2 linked regions of the Elephas maximus indicus genome follow. The protein of the gene in region 2 purifies or fractionates together with the protein of the main gene of each other region. This does not show direct contact. Links are inferred from orthologs where the notes say so. Each region holds a gene or a part of one and is shown on either strand. Other genes may lie near its edges.

What was found.
Region 1: the proteins of CAPN2 (region 2) and SPATA5L1 purify together in Homo sapiens (co-immunoprecipitation; 3 studies listed by BioGRID and IntAct, with this or other methods). This does not show direct contact. The link is inferred for Elephas maximus indicus from reciprocal best matches to the Homo sapiens genes CAPN2 and AFG2B.

The regions. Positions count from the first base shown.
Region 1 is NC_064828.1:10,925,085-10,936,213, forward strand, and holds the start of SPATA5L1 (ribosome biogenesis protein SPATA5L1), read right to left. Parts: upstream 4,136-11,129; 5' UTR 4,058-4,135; coding exon 2,963-4,057; intron 1,869-2,962; coding exon 1,683-1,868; intron 1-1,682. UniProt on the Homo sapiens protein: ATP-dependent chaperone part of the 55LCC heterohexameric ATPase complex which is chromatin-associated and promotes replisome proteostasis to maintain replication fork progression and genome stability.
Region 2 is NC_064842.1:13,424,265-13,435,156, reverse strand, and holds the start of CAPN2 (calpain-2 catalytic subunit), read right to left. Parts: upstream 4,322-10,892; 5' UTR 4,273-4,321; coding exon 4,036-4,272; intron 1-4,035. UniProt on the Homo sapiens protein: Calcium-regulated non-lysosomal thiol-protease which catalyzes limited proteolysis of substrates involved in cytoskeletal remodeling and signal transduction. Proteolytically cleaves MYOC at 'Arg-226'.

The sequences.
Region 1 (11,129 bases), on a different chromosome or scaffold from region 2:
CTAAATATTTTTAATGAAGGTACAAATGAATTAGAGACACGAATGTCAAAGAATTTTAAATAAAATTCCAGATACATGATCTTTCCCACAGTTAGAAAAGTTTTGGGTTTTTTTCCCCCCACAAGATACTTATAAATAACAAAGAGAAAAACAGTATCTTGACAACAGAGAAATCTTACAGACATCACCTTATCCAAGTGACTGAAGTTAATTTCACCAGGAAAGGACAAACAGATACCATCTGCTGCCTGAGAGATGCAGTGAGAAGAACACAGGAACCCTTCTGTGACAATCTTGCAAAAAATGCAAACCCTGAATCAAATCACCAGGAAACATCAGTCAAACCCAAACTGAAGAATATTCTACGTAATAACTGACCTGTACTCTTACAAAGTTAAGGTCATGAAAGAAAAGGCTGAAAAATGGTTCCAGACTAAAGACTAAGAAATCATGACAATTAAATGCAATATGTAATCCTGAACAAGAGAAACAATTATCTTTTTCTCTTTTAAAGTTTTGCTATAAAGGAAGTTAGTGGGACAAACGGTGAAATCTCGGTAAGGTCTACGTAGATGAAGTAAAGTGTATCAGTGTTGATCCCCTCATTTTTATCATTGCACTGTGGTTGTACAGCAGAAGGTCCCTGTCTTAGGCTGGGTTCTCATTTTTATCATTGCACTGTGGTTGTGCGGAAACCCTGGTGGCGTAGTGGTTAAGTGCTATGGCTGTTAACTGAGAGGTCGGCAGTTCGAATCTGCCAGGCACTCCTTGGAAACTCTATGGGGCAGTTCTACTCTGTCCTATAGGGTCGCTATGAGTCGGAATCGACTCGACAGCAGTGGGTGGGTTGAGTACTGTGGTGCAGCACAAGGTCCCTGTCTTAGGCTGGGTTCTCATTTTTATCGTTGTACTGTGGTTGTGTAGCAGAAGGTCCTAGTTTTTTGGAAATAAAAACTTACATTTTCAAGGGGAAAGCGGCATCATGGCTGTAGCATACTCGTGCATGTTTCAGAAATATATACATATACACAGAGAGAATAACAAGACAAATGCAGCAAAATGTTAACATCTGGAGAATCCAGATGAAGAATGTACAGAAATTCTTTGTCCTATTTTTGCAACTTTTCTCTAAGTCTGAAATTCTTTTGAAATTAAAAAAAAAAAAAGAATTGATTCTTTTGAGGCGACCGCCTTTTTCCTGGCTGCTCTGGGGACCGGTGGTTTCAACATTAGGATGTTACTAAGCCAAAAACAAACAAACAATCCATTGCCATCGAGTCGATTCCGACTCATAGTGACCCTATAGGACACAGAAGAACTGCCGACCTTCTGGTTAGCAGCCGTAGCACTTAACCACTATGCCACCAGGGTTTCTGGATGTTACTAAGAGAGTGGGTAAATAGCCACCCGGTAGGCTTGGAGGGCTCAGCCCCTTCTTCCCACCTTCGTTCATATATTATTTATACGGATTTGAGATGTAAAAATATATATAAGAAACAGCCATGAAAGCTATCGATAGTTGTAAAAGAATGTTATTTATCACTTTTTAATCCCAAAATTAATTTGATACGTTAATGAAAACATTAACTCGGGTAAACCAAAAAACCAAACCAGTTGCCGACAAGTCAATTCCCACTGACGATGATCAACATGGGCGGACGATGAGAAGCCAGCCCTCTTACCTTGTCACCACGAAGCATAGCATGCAGGGCCGCCTCCCTGCAGAGAGCCGTCAAGTCTGCGCCAACACAGCCAACTGTCATTTCTGCAAGGAGGCCCAAGTTGACGAGACTGGAGACCGGCATCTTCGAGGTTAGCACTTGCAGAATTGCCCTTCTTTGTCTAAGGGTGGGAGTGCCAATGACAACCTATTTGTAAAGCAAAAAAATAAGGAGAAATTAAAGCTTATATAGTTTGACAATGTACGTATTTTTATCCTCACAAATCTGTGCAATAATTAATGAACCCTTATGGAACTAGTACAGTGCACTCTGATGCACATCTCAGAACACACAGAAAGTTAGGGATCTACACCCTAATTTTCCAGGGGACTAATGAATTTTTTTTTTTTTTAATGAATACTGGCCAGGGAGCAGAACAACAAAAATTGTATAGTGCACTGAAGTTTTTATTTATTTTCGAGAACCTACCACTTCTTGGAAACCCTGGTGGTGTAGTAGTAGTCAAGAGCTACAGCTGCTAACCAAAAAGCTGGCCAGAGGCAGAGAGGGATAGAACAGTGAATCAGTCTAGATCCCTGCTCACAGGGAGCTGATTCAGCAGACAAGTACCAGATAGTGCAAGAAAGTCACTCAAGTCCTTGAGGGATTAAGCTAAAAGTATGCAATTATCCTTTGTTTAGAACCCTACCACAAAGCCCGAACATCATTTCAATTAACCACTAAGTTTCAAACTATTTAATAGAAATCAAGAATCAATTTAAGACCAACGCTCATTAAAAAAAAAAAGGGGGGGGGGCTGCTTTGATATTTACCCTCCCTGGCAACTCAGGAAGCAATTGTGGGTTTTTTTTTTTTTTTTTTTTTTTTCAGTTTCGGGACAGGATGCTGGCATTCTCACAAGGGAGAGCTAATGCCTGCTTTAACTTCACTGCTCTCCGCCTTTTATTTCCACACACTTATTTCTTGAGGCTATCCTTCTACTTTAAACTTCCATTCCAACTCCATACGAGTTCAACATGCCTGTGGCCGACCTAGTTCCCTGAAGAACTAACTCTACTTATTATAGGGCGTACTCGTCTTCAGGACATGTACGGGAAAGTAAACCCTAGGAGACAATTGGAGATTTGGGGAAAAACTGATCCCGGCTCCCAGGTACTATTAGGTCAGAGCACGCGTTCTCTGCACTCCGCCCTCACCAACTTCCAAACCTCAGTGGCAATGCCTAGGGGCAGCCAACCACGGTCCCAGGGGCTACAGGCCAACCGGCCACGCCCGCTCACCTCTCTGTCGAATCTCCCGGGTCTCCGCAGCGCCGGGTCTAGCGCGTCCGGCCGATTGGTGGCTCCCACGACCAGCACCTGGCGGTCCCCGCTGGCGCCGTCCAGCAGCGTCAACACCTGGGCCACCACGCGGCTCTCGGGGGCGCGGTGCGGGCCGCCCCGCCGGGGGCACAGGGCGTCCACCTCGTCCAGGAAGAGGAGGCTGGGCCCGCGCCTGGCCAGCTCCTGGGCGCGCTGGAAGACCCGCCGCACGTTCTCCTCGGTCTCCCCGGGCCGCGCGCCCTGCAGCGCCGGGGCGCTCACGGCCAGCAGCGCGGCGCCCGCCTGCCGGGCCACGGCGCGCACCAGCTGGGTCTTGCCCACTCCAGGGGGGCCCGCCAGCAGCACCCCGCGGGGCACGGCGAGTCCCAGCGCGGCCAGGGCGCGGGGGTAGCGGAGCGGCAGGCAGAGGAGCTCCCGCAGCGAATCGGCCGCCTCCGACAGGCCGCCCAGGGGCGCCTCGGGCTGCGGCTCGGCTTCCGACGGGGGCGTCCCGCTGAGGACGATGCGGGTGCGAGCGGTGACCAGCCCGGCCGCATCGGGACTCGGCGTCCCGCCGACTACGTGCAGGGCGGCCAGCGGGCCGGGGGCACCCGGCGGAGCGGCAACCACGTGGCCCCGAGACACCGGCCGGTTCCGCAGCAGCTCCTGCGCCGCCTCCAGCACGGCGGCGGGACTCGGGTCCCCGGGCGCGCCCGCTCGCTCCCGCAACACCGGCCACACGGCGAGGCGCCGCAGGGGCGGGCAGGGCACCAGGCGCAGGCGGCTCAGGCCGAGGCTCGCGCTGGAGCCCGGCGCCCCCGCCGCCGCCCCGGGGCTCGCGCACTGCGGGTCCAGCTGCACAAAGCCGTCGGCTCCGTCCCGCCGCGGCCAGGCGGTGCAGAGGCACGAGCCGCCGTCGGGCAGCGAGATCTTCACGGCCGAGCCCAAGCGCGCGCCCAAGGCGCGGAGCGCGGCCGGGCCCAGGCGGCAGCGCTGGGTGCCCCGGTCTCTGGAGTCTAGGGGTAGCAGCTGTAAGAGCGGCTCCGCAGGGAAGGGGCCCGAGTCCCGAGCCATGGCGCACGGAGCACCCGAGGTCGAGAGAAGCGGGGCCGGCGTTCCGCCCGGACCCGAACGGCCTGAGCACCGCGCGCCTCGGCCGGAAGCGGACTACGCGCATGCGTCAGGGCAGGCTAGGGCTTGCGAGGCGCTGAGGTCGCTGGAGAGCGAGCGGGGTCCAGCTCCCGCCGGGCCCCGGTCTGCTGTGGCGCTGTCCGCCTGGACGAGACCCAGCCGCCCAGCCCAGAGCCTCCCGGAGGTGGCCTTCGGTGCAGGTGCTGGCAGGCAGCGCGGCCGAACGGCACGGTCGTCCAGCAGGCGCCCAGGCGTCGCAGGGCGTCACCGGCGCCGCACTCCGGCTGGAGCTGCGCGCCGGCCTGGGGACGTGGCTGTGTCGAGAAGAACTCTGAGTGCCCTCGCGTGTGCGGTGTTACCGGCCGGGTGCTCGGGCCAGGTGGCTGGGACAGCGGAGACAACAGCGGTGGCGCCTTCAGTAGCCGGGGCCCCAACCTGTAGGGAAGGTCCGTGCACCGCCTTAATAGAGAAGAGCACCAGCCTTGCAGGAGAGAAGTACAGCGTGACGTTTAAAATACCTTGGAAAGGGGAAGGAAAAACAGGTCCTCTGTTGCCTTTGTGGTGTACTACGACATTTTTTTCTGACCCCCGATTCAGTCCTTTGAATGTGCTTTGACAACAACTTAAGGATACCTAATTTTTTAATGGCAGCGTCTCGGTTCGAGCGACAACTGCTGTCTCCTGGGGCCACAGCCGCACCAAGCCCTGCTTTAGAGGCGACACTTGCCTACAGTATCAAGACTGCCTCCTGCTATTTTTCCGCCTTTCATCTCCACAGGGAATTACTCTTTCCCCGTTATCAGCTGGACTACATTTCCTATTCTCTTTAACTTTGCTCATCAAAAAGAAATGCAGATACTCAAAGTCAAGAAAATAAGCTTTGTTTTTATCTTATTCACATTTTCCCCGTCTTTACTGCAACTCACATCTCCATGAAAACTATGAGGCGACAAAAATTGAAGTTGCAGATAGAGTAAGTCACTGTGACTTGTTTTTCTTCTATCTATGCAAGTAGTGGTTTGCAGACAGCATAGCAGTGTCCTCTCAATGGAAAGTACCGTTTGATCGAGGGCCTTAAGATCAATGGCAGTTCCTGGTCTCATTCTGTCGGAACTTCAGAGCAGATACTGACAGACTTCCGGATTCCATGGTGACTTACCTGGTCTCCACTGTACCTTTCCAGCTCCCAAGCTGGCACAACTTGAATCAGAAAGTAGCAGCAGCAGCAGGAGGTCCTGAATGGGTAGGTCACCCATTAGTTCTTATTCTTTCTCTTAATCACACTGGCTTCTGTTCTCTTGGGTTTTAAGACTTTTCAATAACAGTTTTGCATTTTCTGAAGAAATACATAAACATCATTTTTACTGACTCCTGAAGTTGTGAATGAAATGCCCATCAAATTATTTTGTCATGAACTCATCAGACATGAAAGGGACTGGACAGTGGGTAGGTGAGAGATGCTGATGAAGAGTGAGCTAATTATAGCAAGTGGTCACTTGAGATGTGTTGGCATCTCCTGTCTGGAGAGGGGATGGGAGGATAGAGAGAGTTGGAAGCGGGCAAAATTGTCACGAAAGGAGAGACTGGAAGGGCTGACTCATTAGGGGGAGAGCAAGTGGGAGTACGGAGTAAGATGTATATAAACTTATATGTGACAGTCTGACTTGATTTGTAAACGTTCACTTGAAGCTCAATAAAAGTTAATAAAAAAAATTATTTTGTCATGATACCTGTACTTCCACTTATGAAGATCACTTTTATTCCAGGTTCCAAGAAGCTTTGAAGATCTAGAAAAAAGAAGACTTAATAAGAACATGCTAATTGTCTTAAATATGTAAAGGTCTGTCATGGAAAAGAGCTGGTAGATTGCTGTGTAGCTACAGTGCAGAACTGACCTGGAGGTAAAAGTTTAATGGCGCAGATTTAAGAGGCTTCCTCCTCATTTTAGTATGGTCATGTGGAAGGTAGAGCCAAGAGGCAAAACCAAAGCCAACTGGTATGAAACATAGGGAAGCAGATTAAATTAAATCAAGCTTAGAGTTTTCTGCATTGGTTTCAAGCAAGTAAGGTGGAGGCTGAAATTTTATGGATAGGATATGGAAGAAACTACATGTTGCTTTGGGTTTGTCTGAGAGGTTGCCTTTATGCAAGGTGTATTAATTTCCTAGAGCTGTCATCAAAATTAGCTTCAAACTAGGTGGCTTAAATCAACATAGATTTATTCTCTCACAATTCTGGAGGCTAGAAGTCCAAAATCAAGGTGTCAGGGCCATGCTTTCTTCTAGGGAAGAATCTGTTCCACGCCTCTCTCCTAGTTCCTGGTGGCTGCCAGAAATCCTTGGCTTTCCGTGGCTGTAGCTGCACCACTCCAATATCTGTCTCTATCATCACTTCTTTCCTGTGTATCCTCTCATGGCCTGCTTATAGGACAGCAGTGTCTTAGTCATCTAGTGCTGCTGTAACATAAATACCACAATGGGCAGCCTTAACAAAGAAATTTATTCTCTCACAGTCTAGCAGGTTACAAGTCCAAATTCAGGGCGCTGGCCCCAGGAGAAGGCTTTTTCTCTTTGTCGGCTCTGGAGGAAGGTCCTTGTCATTGGTCCTCCCTTGGTCTGGGAGCATCTCAGCACAGGAATGTCAGGCCCAAAGGACATGCTCTGCTCCCAGCACCGCTTTCTTGGTGGTATAAGGTCCCCCTGTCTCTCTGGTCATTTCTCTTTTTTGTGTCTCAAGAGATTGCTTTAAGACACCATCTAATCTTGTAGATCTCATTAGTATAACTGCCACTAATCCATTTTATTACAGCATAGTGATAGGATTTACAACATAGGGAAATCACATCAGATGGTAAAATGGTAGACAATCATACAGTCATACAAGGGAATCATGACCTAGCCAAGTTGGCAGATATTTTGGGGGGATACAATTCAATCCATGACAACCAGTCATTAGACTTAAGGGCCACACTAATCCAGTGCAACCTCATATAAACTAGGTACATCTGCAAAGACCCTGCTTCCAAATAAGGCCACGTTCTGAGGTTCCAGGTGAATCTAAATACATCTTTTTTGATGACATGATTCAACCTACCACACAAAGTCAACCTAGAATTCTCTGACCTCGTAAAACCCATGAGTCCAGGAAATAGTCACTTCATACTCTCCCTGAAAGGTCCAGTCTTCCCCTTACGATACAAACAAAAGCAACCAGGAATCCTGTTCCTGGGCCTTTATCCTTCTCTACTTACTCGTGGCAGAACTATTACTATGACTGGCCTTTCCAGTCAGCCAGTAGAATCCACTTTGTCCCTTTAAATCAGACTATTTGCAACACTACTATTTCAACCATTTTAACCTCCTCATTTAACATACCATTCAATGACGTAGTCTGCTCCCTTTTGTGCTTTATGTGTTTTGTTTCTAGTATGACCCAAAATTGGGTAATTCTATGAACTGAAGAGTACCAATCAAAGCACCAAAAGGTTGAACACTAGAGGGAGTCCAGGACCGAAAAACCTGAAGACTACTGCACTGTTAGGGGTTTGAAGTGTTCCACACGAGGCTTCCACTAGATTTTCCCAGCATTAATAACCGGATGTATGAAGCAGTCATGTTGTCTCTATGTAGTACCTTAATTATTTTAACATAATTTCTACATACATAGGCCATATAGAACTCAGTTTCCTAGTTAAAATTTTGTTGCCACATTAAATATCAAAATAAGGCTCCCCAAGTCCAAAATTTAGTAGTGGTTCAAAATGCAAATGAACTGAGTTTATTTTGTGATAGCCTAGAAACCATTCCAGCTTTGAGCTGCTTCCGATAGCCCTACTTTTGTGAGATTCTCCTGAAGTGATATATTTAACAAATAGTTTTTTCTTAATTTAGGTTGCTACATTCAGGATTACAATCTGCCTTGTATCAACTATAAAAATTCTTAGCAATATGGAATTCAAAAGAATTGGAACCTCTACTTGTTTTAGAATAACTATTATACAATATTTTGGTGTCTTCAGCATCAATAATATATACTAAATATTATATTTCAAGATATGAGATACACCATAATGATGAAAACCGTAAAGAAAAGGTTCAGTTAAGCCAGTAGCATGAGCCATCCGTAGATCAATGGCCATCCTTCCTGTGTTTCCAGGCTCATGTTATTTTCAACCCTAATATATTTGAATATTAGCAATGATGATGATTTCTAACAGGTAAGTATAGAGACTCATTTAACCACACTTGAAAAAGCATGGTTTACAAATACTCAACATGTTCATGAAGATGTATCAAGTGACTCCATTTCACAGATACTTAATATGCCAGATTTTCTTAAAATGTGTAATGAAAACTCCCCAAAATAGGACATTGTTAAAATTGTTTTTTAAACATTTCCATCTTTAGGCTTTCTCATGTACCCAGGCTAGAATTATTCTCTAGAAGATACGGAGTCAGGGAGGGTGATTAGGGCCATCAGATATCTTTGCTGGACTACAAATGACCTGTAGGCTGTAGTTCACATAACACCATTCTGAAACTCGGTTCTTGCAGATTTTCATGAATAATTGTTTGTTTCATCGTTTTTTGGAAGTTAAGCCTCCAAGGGACTTATCCTCTATGATGTGAGTTCAAACTGTTCAGCTAATAAAATAAGATAGGCATTTATTTAACAAGTATTTATTACACATATGTTGTTGTTAGGTGATGTCATGGATTGAATTATGTCCCCCTAAGATGTTAAGATGTGCGTAGTGATTTGGCTGGGCCATGATTCCCAATATTGTGTGGTTGTCCTCCATTTTGTGATGTAATTTTATGTTAGAGAGGATTAGGGTGGGATTGTAACACCCTTACTAAGGTCACATCCCTGATCAATGTAAAGGGAGTTTCCCTGGGGTGTGGCTTGCACCACCTTTTATCTTACAAGGGATGAAAGGGAAGCAAGCAGAAAGTGGGGACCTCATACCACCAAGAAAGCAGTGCCGGGAGCAGAGCCTTTGGACCTGAGGTTCCTATTCTGAGATGCTCCCAGACCAAGGGAAGATCTATGCATTACAAGGACCTCCAGAGCTGACAGAGAAAGAAAGCCTTCCCCTGGAGTGGCGCCCTGAGTTCAAACTTCTACTAGACCATGAGAAAATAAGTTTCTCTTTGTTAAAGCCGTCCACTTATGGTATTTCTGTTGTAGCAGCACTAGATGACTAAGACAGGTGCCATCAAGTTAGCTCTGACTCATAGCCACGCTGTGTACAACAGAACAAAACACTGCCTGGCCCTACACTATTCTCAGAGTCATCTTATGCTTGAGCCCATTGTTGCAGCCACTGTGTCAGTCTCTTCGAGGATCTTCCTCTTTCTCAGTGACCCTCTACTTTACCAAGCCTGGTGTCCTTCTCCAGGGACTGGTCCCTCCTGATAACATGTCCAAAGTATGTGAGACCAAGTCTTACCATCCTTGTTTCTAAGGACCATTCTGCTTATATTTTTTCTAAGACAGATTTGTTCATTCTTTTGGCAGTCCATGATATATTAAGTATTCTTCCCCAACATCATAATTCAAAGGCATCAATTCTTTTTCGGTCTTCCTTATTCACTGTCCAATTTCCTATGCGTATGAGGCAATTGAAAACACCATGGCTTGAGTCAGGTGCACCTTTTTCTTCATGGTGATCTTTCCTTTTTAACACTTTAAAGAAGTCTTTTGCAGTAATTTGCCCAATGCATTGTGTCATTTCATTTCTTGACTGCTGCTTCCACGGGCATTGATTGTGGATCCACGTAAAATGAAATCCTTGACAACTTCAGTCTTATCACCGTTTATCATGATGTTGCTCATTGGTCCAGTTGTGAGAATTTTTGTTTTCTTTACGTTGAGGTGTAATCCATACTGAAGGCTGTGGTCTTTGATCTTCATCAGCAAGTGCTTCAAGTCCTCTTCACTTTCAGCAAGCAAGGTTGTGTTATCTGCGTAGTGCAGGTTGTTAATGAGTCTTCCTCCAAGCCTGATGTCCTATTTTTCTTCATATAGTCCAGCTTTTCAGATTATTTGTTAGGCATATAGATTAAATAGATATGGTGAAAGGATATAACCCTGACACACGCCTTTCCTGACTTGAAACCATGCAGTATCCCCTTGTTATGTTCAAACAACTGTGTCTTTATCTATGTACAGATGCCACAATTAAGTGTTCTGGAATTCCCATTCTTTGCAATGCTATCTGTGATTTGTTATGATCCACACAGTCGAAGGCCTTTGCGTAGTCAATAAAACACAGGTAAACACCTTTCTGGTATTCTCTGCTTTCAGCCAGGATCCATCTCACATCAGCAGTGATATCTCTGGTTCCATGTCCTCTTCTGAATCTGGCTTAAATTTCTGGCAGTTCCCTGTCCATGTACTGCTGCAGCCACTTTTAAAAGATCTTCAGCAAAATTTTACTTGCGTGTTATATTAATGGTATTGTTCCATAGTTTCTGAATTTGGTTGGATCACCGATCTTTGGAATCTCTTCCAGTTGGTTGGCCAGGTAGCTGTCTTCCAAATTTCTTGCATAGACGAGTGAGCACTTCTAGTGCTGTATCCATTTGTTGAAACATCTCAACTGATATTCGGTCTATTCCTGGACCCTTGATTTTCACCAATGCGTTCAGTGCGGCTTGGACCTTTTCCTTCTGTACCCTCAGTTCCTGATCATATGCTGCCTTCTCCAATGGTTGAAAATCAGCCATTCTTTTTGGTATAGTGACTCTGTATTTCTTCCATCTTCTTTTGATGCTTCCTGTGTCATTTAATATTCTTCCCATAGAACCCTTCATTATTGCAACTCGAGGCTTGAATATTTTCTTCAGTTCTTTCAGTTTGGGAAATGCCAAGTGTGGTCTTCCATTTTGGTTTTCTAACTCCAGGTTTTTACGCATGTTGTTATAATACTTTGTCTTTTCAAGCCGCCTTTTGAAATCTTCTGTTCAGTTTTTTTTTACTTCATTTCTTCCTTTCACTTTAGATACTTGAC
Region 2 (10,892 bases):
AAGCCACAGAGGAAGTCAGGCATAAATCTGGGCTCCTCTTGCCTAAGTGTGTACGAGCTGCTGTTACGTCTCATGTCTGCTCTGAGCGTCACAGATGGGTGCCACCACCCCACGTCCCTCAGCGAGCCCTCTGTCAAGCAGGCGAGACCTGGATGCAGCCCTGGTCCGCCCTGCCTTACCCTGCGGAAGCCCTTCCTGAGCCCCAGTCTGCAGCAGAGCTCGTTCCCGTCCTGCCTTTGCCCTGTCTCCCTGCTCTGAGAATGCGTCTCTGCTGAGGCCAACAAGGTCTGCCAGACCAAGCAAGGCCTGCCAGTCAAGCACTTACCTGGCTGGCGGAATAGATGGGCCATGGTGCTGGCAGCCTCTTTATTCTAACCATATTGATAATCCTCCGTGCACCAGGCACTCACCCCAGGAGCATTTTTCCACTATGTTTCAGAAACTTTCTCATGCCTCTAGCAACCTCTGCAGAGAAGTCCAAGCCCAGAGTGGCACGCAGAAGTACTTCAGAGAGTAGAATGCTGTGCGAGGCATGCAGGACACTGAATTAAATCTGAGATGAGCCAGTCAGAGACAAGGGGCTCTGAGGACTTGGGCTTCAGACAGCCTGGGTTTCAATCCTGGCTCTGCCGCTTGTTATTTGGGCTCTGTAAGCCTGGGCAAGTTACTTAACCTCTTTAAGCTTCAGTTTTCTCATCTGTAAAATGGGGATGATGATGATAAGCATACCCACCACACAGGATGTTTTGTGATTAAACTAGGTCACCGTGTAAGCCTGTCTTGGTTAAGCGCTCCACAGACGTTGCCTATTATTATCGTTGTTACTATTACTATAGGAAAAGTTGATGATGATAATCACTGACCTTGGAAGTGCAAGTCCAAGGCAGAGTTCGGTCAGCTGAATATAAGCAAGTCCTAAACCACTCAGAGGCTTGGTTCCCTCATGAGGAAAATACCTGCCTTGCTCCTCCACGTCCTGCCTGTCAGCTTGTCCCACTCTGGTGGCTGGGAGATATGCCACTGGCATTTCAAGCATCAACAGGGTCACCCATGGTGGACAGGTTTCAGTGCACCTTCCAGACTAAGAAAGACTAGGAAAAAAGGCCTGGTGATCCACTTCTGAAAATTAGCCAATGAAACCCCTATGGATCAGCTCTGGAAGATGAAGGTCCCCAAGTTGGGAAACACTCCAAATACACAATGGACTCAAGCACACCAACGATCACAAAGATGGCACAGGACCAGGTCATGTTTCGTTCTGTTGTACATGGGGTTGCCATGAGTTGGAGCCGACTAGATGGCAATGAACAAGGGGCCCTCGCTCCTACCTGTCTGGGTGCCAGGAGGCTCTGGTGTGCCACCCTTGGCCAGCCCAGTTCTTCTCCTCACTGTGACCCCTGAGCCAGTCCCTGGCCTCACCAGGACGTCAGCCACTTTCTGCTTCATCCCCCTTCCCTCCCTGCAGCCACTCTTCACCAGTGGTGTGAAACCCCTTGCCCCTGAGACACCAGTCTCTCTCCCAGCAAGAGCACGCCCTCCTCCACCCAAGGCTAACCGGCTCCCCTGCCCTCCCAGGACCCCATACTCTCGCATCCTCGGACCCTGTTTCACGACTACCTGCTCTCTGCCTTCACCTCCAATCCCTTCCTTCCTGGGGGCTCCACACAGAGCACGTTCAAGGCGCTCTCATCAAGCCCCAGGTTTCACTCTACCTGCCATTTTCTCTGTCTCTCTTCCTACAGGCATGCTTCCAAAAGCAATTGATCACATTCTCCATTTCCATCTCCTAACTCTGGACTAGGCTGACTCCTCAGTCCACTGCAATCTGCTTCTACCCCCGCCTTTCCGCTGACATAGCTCTGCTGAGGTCACCAGCAATTCATCAATGTCCAGATCTAGTGGAAACTTTTTGTTTTCCTTGCCTGGGCCTGGCATGTTTGAGAAGGTGGGACAGAGCTAAGTAGCTGTAAAGTCATGGGCTCTAGACACGCACAGGCTAGAAACAGTCTCAGCTCCACCATGTATACCTGTTTGAGTAGGTATTTAACCTTTCAAAGCCTCAACGTCTTCAACTGCCGAATGCCCTGCCCTACCCAGCAGCCCTGAAATGGTTCTAAATCTCTACTTCCCCATCCGGAAATCTCGCAGGAAACTCCACCTGTTGGGTCACCTGTCTGTCTCCCCTCACTAGGCTCCAGTCTTCAGAAGAAAACACTACGTGCACTGTGCCTGGTATGTAGGATGTGTTCAGTAAGCGCTTACTGACGAGGGAAAGAACAGTGAAGGGGAGCATGGATTCACTTTGTAAGCTGTAAAGTGCTGTCCAAATGCAAGGTGCAAACATTCTCTTGCCTGTGGATCACTTTCACAACAAAACTTCATTTGGGGTTCACAGCAATTCATCGCACAGATAGTCATTGTCTGCTTTGTTTGCTGATGTATCCTGAGCATTTAGGGCAGTGCCTGGCATAAAGTAAAAAACGAAACCAAACCCATTGCCATCGAGCCGATTCGGACTCATAGCAACCCTACAGGACAAAGTAGAACTGCTCCATAAAGTTTCCAAGGAGCACCTGGTGGATTCGAACTGCTAAGCTTTTGGTTAGCAGCCGTAGCACTTAACCACTATACCACCAGGGTTTTCTGACACACAGTAGGCACTCAATAAATATTGTTGAATGAATGAATAAATGAATACTATAAATGGACGCAACCGTTCTAGGGAGCCCTGGTGACGCAGTGGTTAAGTGTTCGGCTGCTAACCAAAAGGTTGGCAGTTGGAATCCACCAGGTGGTCCTTGGAAACCCTATGGGGCAGTTCTATTCTGTCCTGTAGAGTTTCTATGAGTCAGAATTGACTCAGTGGCAACAGATTTTAACTGTGCCAGACAATGGGGCTAGAATGCTCCTGCTTGTTCCAAACCCAAACCAAACCCACTGCCATCCAGTCTTACGACTCATAGCGACCCAACAGAACAGAGTAGAACAGCCCTATTGGGTTTCCAAGGCTGTATATCTTTAGGGGTGCAGACTGCCATATGTCTCCCGCGGAGTGGCTGGTGGGTTCAAATCACCAATTGTTTGGTTTGCAGCCGAGTGCTTAACCACTGTGCCACCAGGGCTCCTTTCCTGCTCATTACAGGAATCTAAAGCTTGAGTTTCTTGGGAAGCCTCATTCAGGTGTGGTGAGGGAGCTCTGACAGTCCCATAGAAGAGGACAGGAGCCTGCAAAATGGACCACTAAATGAGGAAGCAGAACTTGTCCCAAAGCCGGGCAGGCGAGGAGGACAGAGCCCCTGAGGGCGGAATGAGGGTGCCTGCAGGTTCCCTAGGTGAGGATTCTGGGGCAGTGGAGTGAAGACGATGGCAAACTCGCTCCCTGCGGCATCCCGCGTGTCCTTTATTAATCACCAGCGTAAATATTATGGGGAAGTTTCCCGGGCTCCCACTTGGAAAATAAACAAGAAGCCGACACATCTACCCACCGAGGCTGCAGGAGACAGCACAGAGTCACAAACCAAACCAGGCTCTGGCCTTTCCCTCTCCCTGACGCGGACAGAGCCGACTTGGAGGCTGACTTCTCCTAGTCAGATACTGCCTCCCACCCTCCTATTTTTGCAGACCCTGCTCCCAACTCCCCCAATAAAACTTTCCACCAGGCCCCCTCGTGCCACCCCAGTTTTTGCCAAGTCCAAGGGCGGCTCTCCCAGCGGGCCAGTTTTGGGGGTTTGAGGGCTGTGACCCGCCTCCCCCGGCCTGGGATTGCTGCTGGGTGTCAGGCGCGGCAGAGGGGACCGCAGGGTCCCGGAGGCCCAGCTCCCGCCGGGGAGCCTCCCGCGCGCCCCCCGCGCAGGGTAACGGGGCCGCGCAGCGCCGAGCCCACCCCCGGCGCGCTCCGCCCACGATGTGGCGCCGCCCGGGGCCTGGCGGGGCGCCCTCCGGCCCGACCCCCGGCGCCGCGCAGCCGGCCGACCCCCAGCACCCGGCCGGCCCCCAGGACCCCGCACCCGGCCGGCCCCCGGCCCCGCACCCTACCGTGGGCCTCTTCCACTCGATGCCCCGGGTTTTGCTGGAGTAGGGTCCCAGCTCCTTGAAGCCCAGCGAAGACGGGAGGGCCGGGAAGGAGGGGTCCTGGAAGAGCGCGCCGGCTTCCAGACACTCGTCCCGCAGCGCCGCGTAGTCCTGGTTCAGGTACTTGACGGCCCTCTCGTGCGAGCCCAGCCCCTCGGCCGCCTCCCGGTCCCTGGCCAGCCGCGCCGCGATGCCCGCCATGCTGCCGACCGAGGCTGGCTGGGAGGGGCGCGGCGGCGGGCGCACTGCGGCGGGGCTGCGGCGAGGGCGCAGGCCGCCAGGGGGCGCGGCGCGGGCGCAGGCCGCCAGGGGGCGCGGCGCGGGCTGGGTGTGGCCTGCTGGGCGGCGGCCCGGGAGCTTGCGGGCCCAGCGGCCTGGAGAGCGGCGTCCGGGGGGCGGGCTGGGGCCTGTGCTGCCACCTGCCGACGGCTGCCGGGATAGCGCGGCCGCAGGGGTGGAAAAGGCGGGGCTGCAGCCCGACTCCGAGGCCAAGTTCCCAGTGACTGGGTGAAACCCGAGGCTGGGGCAGTCGAGACTCTCCAGGAAACACCCCGTGAGTCAGCAGAAGATCAGGAAGTGGGGTCAAGAATACCAGGCTAAAAAAAAAAAAAAACCCTTCGCCGTTGAGTCGATTCCGATTCATGGCGACCAGACTGGCTGCCGTTAATTGGGCCCCTGCTTTGTACCAGATACCGTGCTAAGGGCTCTACAGGCGTTATCTCATTTAATCCTCCGGCAACTCTGTGAAGAAGGGGCTATTATCCCCACTTCACAGATGAGAAGACTGAGGAGGAGGCTGTCAAATGACATTACCTAATGTCCCACAACCAGCAACAGGCAGAACAGGGATTCCCAGACACCAGAAAACAAGACCACAAACTAATGCTGTTGCCATGGAGTTGATTCTGATTCATGGCGATCCCATGTGTTACCGAGTAGAGCTGCTCCATAGAGATTTCTTGGCTCTGACCTTTATCGAGGCAAATCACTAGGCTTTTCTTTGGTGGTGCTACTGGGTGGGTTTGAACCCCCAACTTTTAAGGTTAGCATCCAATCACAAACTGCTTGGGCCACCCAGGAACCTCCAAGACACTAAGGGCTGTGCTTATTACAATCACCACTGTTATTAGAGCCCTGATGGCACAGTGGTTAAAGCGACCGCTAACCAAAAGTTCAGCGGTTCAAAACCACCAGCAGCTCCCTGGGAGAAAGATGTGGCAGCCTGCTTCCATAGAGGTTTACGCCTTGGAAACCCTATGGAGTCACTCTGAGTTGGAATCGACTTGATAGCAGCAGGCACACTGTTATTGGTCAGGTACTTGATCACAGATAGGGTTGCCAGATTTGGCAAATATTCAGGATGCCCAGTTAAATTTGAACCATCTTATAACTGTTGGTGGGATTGTAAAATGGTACAACCACTATGAAAAATGGTATGGCATTTCCTCAAAAAGCTAGAAATAGAAATACCTTATAATCTAGCAATCCCACTTCTAGGTACATATCCTAGAGATACAAGAGCAGTGACGTGAATAGACACATGCATGCTGTCTTAGCTAGTTAGTGCTGCTATAACAGAAATACCACAAGTGAATGGCTTTAGCCAACAGAAATTTATTCTCTCACCGTCTAGGAGGCTAGAAGTCTGAATTCAGGGGTCCAGCTCCAGGGGAAGGCTTTCTCTCTGTCAGCTCTGGGGGAAGGTCCTTGTCATCAATCTTCCCCTGGGTCTAGGAGTTTCTCAGCACAGGACCCTGGGTTCAAAGGATGTGCTCCGCTCCTGTCTCTTCTTTCTTGGTGGTGTGAGGTTCCTCTCCTTTCTGCTCACTTCTCTTTTTTCTATCTCAAAAGAGATTGACTCAAGATACAACTTAATCCTGTAGATTATGTCCTGCCTTATTAACATAAGCCCTGAAAAAACCCGTTGTCATCAAGTGGATTACAACTTCTAGTAACCCTAGAACTGCCCCATAGGATTTCCAAGGGTTGACTGGTAGATTCTAACTGCCGGTCTTTTGGTTAGTGGCCAAGCTCTTAGCCACTGCCTCTAATTCTGCCTCATTAACGTTATAGCAGTTAGAATTTACAACACGTACAATAATTACATCAGATCACAAAATGGAGGAGAACCACACAATACTGGAAATCATGGCCTAACCAAATTGACACACATTTTGGGGGGATAAATTCAATCCATAACAACACCTATGTTCATTGGAGCATTATTCACAATAGCAAAAAGATGGCAACAACCTAAGTGCCCATTAACGGATGAATGGATAAACAAATTATGGTACATGCATACAATGGAATACTACACAACTATGAAGAATAATGAGGAGTCTGTGAGATATAACATGGATGAACCTGGAGACCATAATGCTGAGTGAAATAAGCCAATCACAAAAGGGCAAATATTGTATGGTCTTAACTTTTATAAAAAGACAAGGATATGTATGCACACAGAAAGCAGCGTTCTTTGATGGTTACCAGGGATGGGAACGGGAGGGAGAGGGAATCACTTTCTAGATAGTAGACACTTGTTTTTTTTGGTGATGGGAAAGGTAATACCCAATTTGGGTGACGTCTTCGTTGACCAAAGAGTCTTAGTTGACACTAAGAGGTACACAAGAATAAGGGTCAGTTTGGCTAAATGCTATAACATACACAATTTTGCAGTAGTGAAAACAACCAAAAAATGTGTGTTTTACCTAGGTAGATATGTAGGCGTATACAGTATGTTTATAGGAAGTGATATGTGAATACAGGCACAGTTGTGTCTGTAGCCATGTGTACATACATGTTTGTGTGCACTGCACATGTATTCGTATATATAATAAAGCACATAGGGAGCACAGTTACAGATACTTACTAACCAAAAAGCAAAAACCGTTGCTGTCTAGTCAATTCCAATACTCCCTGGACATATTCAGACACCTCACGAGATTGGTTGACTGGGTTAAAAGGCTTAGGACCATAGTATCCTGGGACAACTTGGTCAATTGACATAACATAGTTCATAAATTTTATGTTGTACATTCTAGTTTGGCGAATCACATCTGGAGTCTTAAAAGCTTGCCAGTGGCCATCTAAGATACAACTGTTGGTCTCTACTCGTCTGGAGCAAAAGATAATGAAGGAAACCAAAGATTCAAGATACTAGTCCACAGGTCTAATAGCCCACATGAACCAAGGCCTTGTCTATGACGAGACCGGAAGAACTAAATGGTGCCCAGCTACCACTGCCAACTGTTCCGACCAGGGACACAGTAGAAGGTCCCAAATAGAATGGGAGAAGATTGTAGAACAAAACTCAAATTCCAAAAAAAAAAAAAGTCCAGATTACTGGATCGATAGAGACTAGAGGAACCCTGAGACTATTGCCCTAAGATACACTTTGAACTCAGAACTGAAGCCCCTCCCAGAGGTCATCTTTCAGCTTAATAATAGATTGGCACCCGTGAGTACCGTGCTTTTTTGAATAATTACCTATACGAGACCAAATGGTCAACATTTACCCTAAAACAAAGCTGAGAAAGTAAGGAAGGGGCAGGGAAGCTAGATTCATGGAAACAGAACAAACAGAATGGAAATAATGAGAATGCTGGCACATTATGAAAAATGTCACCAGTGTCATGGAACAATTGGTACAAAAATTGTCAAATGGGAACCTAATTTGCTGTGTAAACTTTCAACTAAAGCACAGTAAAATATTATTAAAAAAAAAAATTAACCAAGATGTATTTGAAGAAAATGGAGGCATTTTGCTTGGATAAGAGGAGAACGATGGGGAACTCAACACTAACGGGAGCCCTGGTGGCGCAGTGGTGAAGAGCTCAGCGGCTAACCAAAAGGTTGACAGTTTGAATCTACCAGCTATTCCTTGGAAACTCTATGGAGCAGTTCTATTCTATCCTACAGGGTCGCTATGAGTCAGAATCAACTCAAAGGCAATGGATTTGCTTTTTTTTTGGTCAACACTAGCTAGGAGCCTTCATGGCTCAGTGGTTAAGAGCTCAGCTACTAACCAAAAGGCCAGTGGTTCAAACCCACCAGTCGCTCTGTGGGAGAAAGATGTGACAGTCTGCTTCCGCAAAGATTGCAGCCTTGGAAACCCTATGGGGCATTTTCTACTCTGTCCTATAAAAAAAAAAAAGGTCACTATGAATTGGAATCGACTGAATGGCAAAGGTTTTCGACACTAGCTTCACTAATCCTTACTGTCATGGAGAAGAAGGAGTGTGTTCATTGTGTGTTGCTGCAGAGGAAGAGCTGGGACTAGGCAGATTTTAATTTGTGATACAGAGTCCAACACCACTTTGAATACACTGCATGTGGCACAAATGGTTAAGTGCTCAGCTACTAACTGAAAGGTTGGAGGTTTGAGTCTACCCAGAGGCAACTCAGACGAAAGGCCTGGCAATCTATTTCCAAAAGGTCACCCGATGGAGTGCAATGAAATACCTGGGGTTGTCATGAGGCAACAGCTTTTTAAGATTTTTTATTCAAGCAGTGGCTGGTCTGCTCAGGGGTACCCCAGCATGGGCGATCATCAGAATCACTCGGGGGTGGGGGGCTTGTTAAAAATACAAAACCCGGATCTGACAGCACAGATGCTGAGTCAGGAAGTCAGGAAGTCTGTGGTCTTCATGGCTGTGGACCAGTCAAGCTGGGGACTGCTGCAGAGGGGCCGGCAGAGCTGTAGCCGGGAGACCCGCTGAGGTCCTTTCTTTGCCAAAGATTCCATGGTCTGAGGGTTTGCTGGCCGGTGGCAAGGTGGTATACGTGCTTTTCCAGCATTACCAGGGCGCCAGGCTTCCTTTAGCTTTAAAGTCAGCCTTGGCCTTGGGGGCCACCACTTACTTTACACGGGGTTACTATGTTTTGAAGGAGCTATTTCTCTGCCCCTCAAAATCTGTGGGGGACTTCCTCTTGCTCCCCACTTTTTACATTTCCTGGATAGGAGGAACCTCAGATTGTGTGACTTTGGCTTTGACACCACAGTTTAAAAAGTTCTTGAGGAACGGAGCCTCGTGAACGACGTTCTTCGCTAAGTGAAGTCTCCAGGAATCCCATTCCTATGCAAGCAGCCTGGATTTGGAGGTTTCCCCTCTTGATTTATCAGTATTTACACTCACACGCACCCTGCCCATCTGTTGTGGTCCTCCACCCCAGTTTGCACGTCTGGGTATGCACCTGGCAGACAGGTCCCGCTACAGCCCTGACTCGGCTGTCGCACTCTTGGATGAGATGAGTGATGGAGCTTTCATTTCTAGTTTGTGGGCATCTGGCGCAAGGGTGTTTATGAAACTATAACAGCGGGGAACAGAGGAAAGACACAGCCCTTTCCTTGAAGCTGTTATTCGTTTCACTGTTTGGTTTCCACTGGGCCCACCCTCATTTCTTCCGGGCTCTGGGGTCTGGAGAGAAAGCATGTCCAGTACCCAGTGTGGCAGAGCATCCGGCATTCACTTTTCCTCCTGCCCATCTCCTCACGGACAGCTTGTCCCTGGAGGAAGTACATCCCCCGGGCTAGGGGTGTGGTTCTCCTCCTGAGTCCTCTGAGCTGCAAAGGAGCAGGGCAGACCAGACCTATCCCCCTAGTCCGATCAGAGGCATGGTGCAGCCCTGGGGCAGAGAAGCCTCCTGGCTCACCCTGAGCTTCCTCTTTGCCCTGGCAATGCCCTCTGGGTACATGGGCAGCCCCCGGCTGTGACTTCACCAGCTTTCTGGGTGCCCTGTGCCCACAGAACTCCACTCACAAAGGGCCTCCAGCCAGCCTGAGGTACTAACATTGATTTGCAAATGCACAGTTATTATTGCCCCCATCACTTGGCCAAGGTCCAGGTTTTAATCCTGAATAAACACTGCTGTTTACTCTTCAAAGCCTCTCACGGGACGTTTTCTCATGAGGCCCTGCCAAGTCTCCCATTTCTGTGACCACGCACTCCCTCTTACAGGGACACAGGCGCACACAGACACACACACCGCCGGCATCACTGCGGAAATCCTTCCAGGAGTGAGTCACCGGCCAGCCCAGGGCAGTGAGTGAGTCAGAAGCCACTGCGATTATGCAAAGCTGCCTGGGTCCCAGCCAAGGCCTTTGTTCTAGAGCATGTGTTCCCCTTGCTAAGGCCCACGCACGCCTCGGGGGGCCTTAGCAAGGGAATCTCTTTTTGTGGTATTTTTCTTTAGATCATTTTTTCCACGTGAGAAGAAGGGAAAATAAAACATCTGGGGTGGCAACGAGTTGGAATAGACTTGATGGCAACTGGTTGGTTTGGTTTGGTTTGGTTTAGGCCCACGTTGGGGGCAGTGGAGGTTCAGTGGTAGAATTCTCCCCTTCCATGCAGAGATCCTGGTTTGATTCCCAGCCAGTGCACCTCAGTCACCACCACTGGTCTGCCATTGGAGGCTCGTGTGTCGTGATGATGCTGAACAGGTATCAGCAGAGCTTCCAAACTAAGAGGGCCAAAGAAGAAAGGCCTAGTGATTTACTTCCAAATTCAGCCAGTGAAAACCCTGTGGATCACGAGGGAACTGTCCGAAACCGGTCATGGGGATATCACAGGACTGGGCAGGGTTAGGGTGAGGGTGAGGGTGAGGGTGAGGGTGAGGGTGAGGGTGAGGGTGAGGGTGAGGGTGAGGGTGAGGGTGAGGGTGAGGGTGAGGGTGAGGGTGAGGGTGAGGGTGAGGGTGAGGGTGAGGGTGAGGGTGAGGGTGAGGGTTAGGTTTTGCTCTCCCATGCATGGGGTTGCCCTGAGTCGGGGGCTGACAACATGGCAGCTAACAACAAGAGGCCACGCTAACTCCACAGCAGC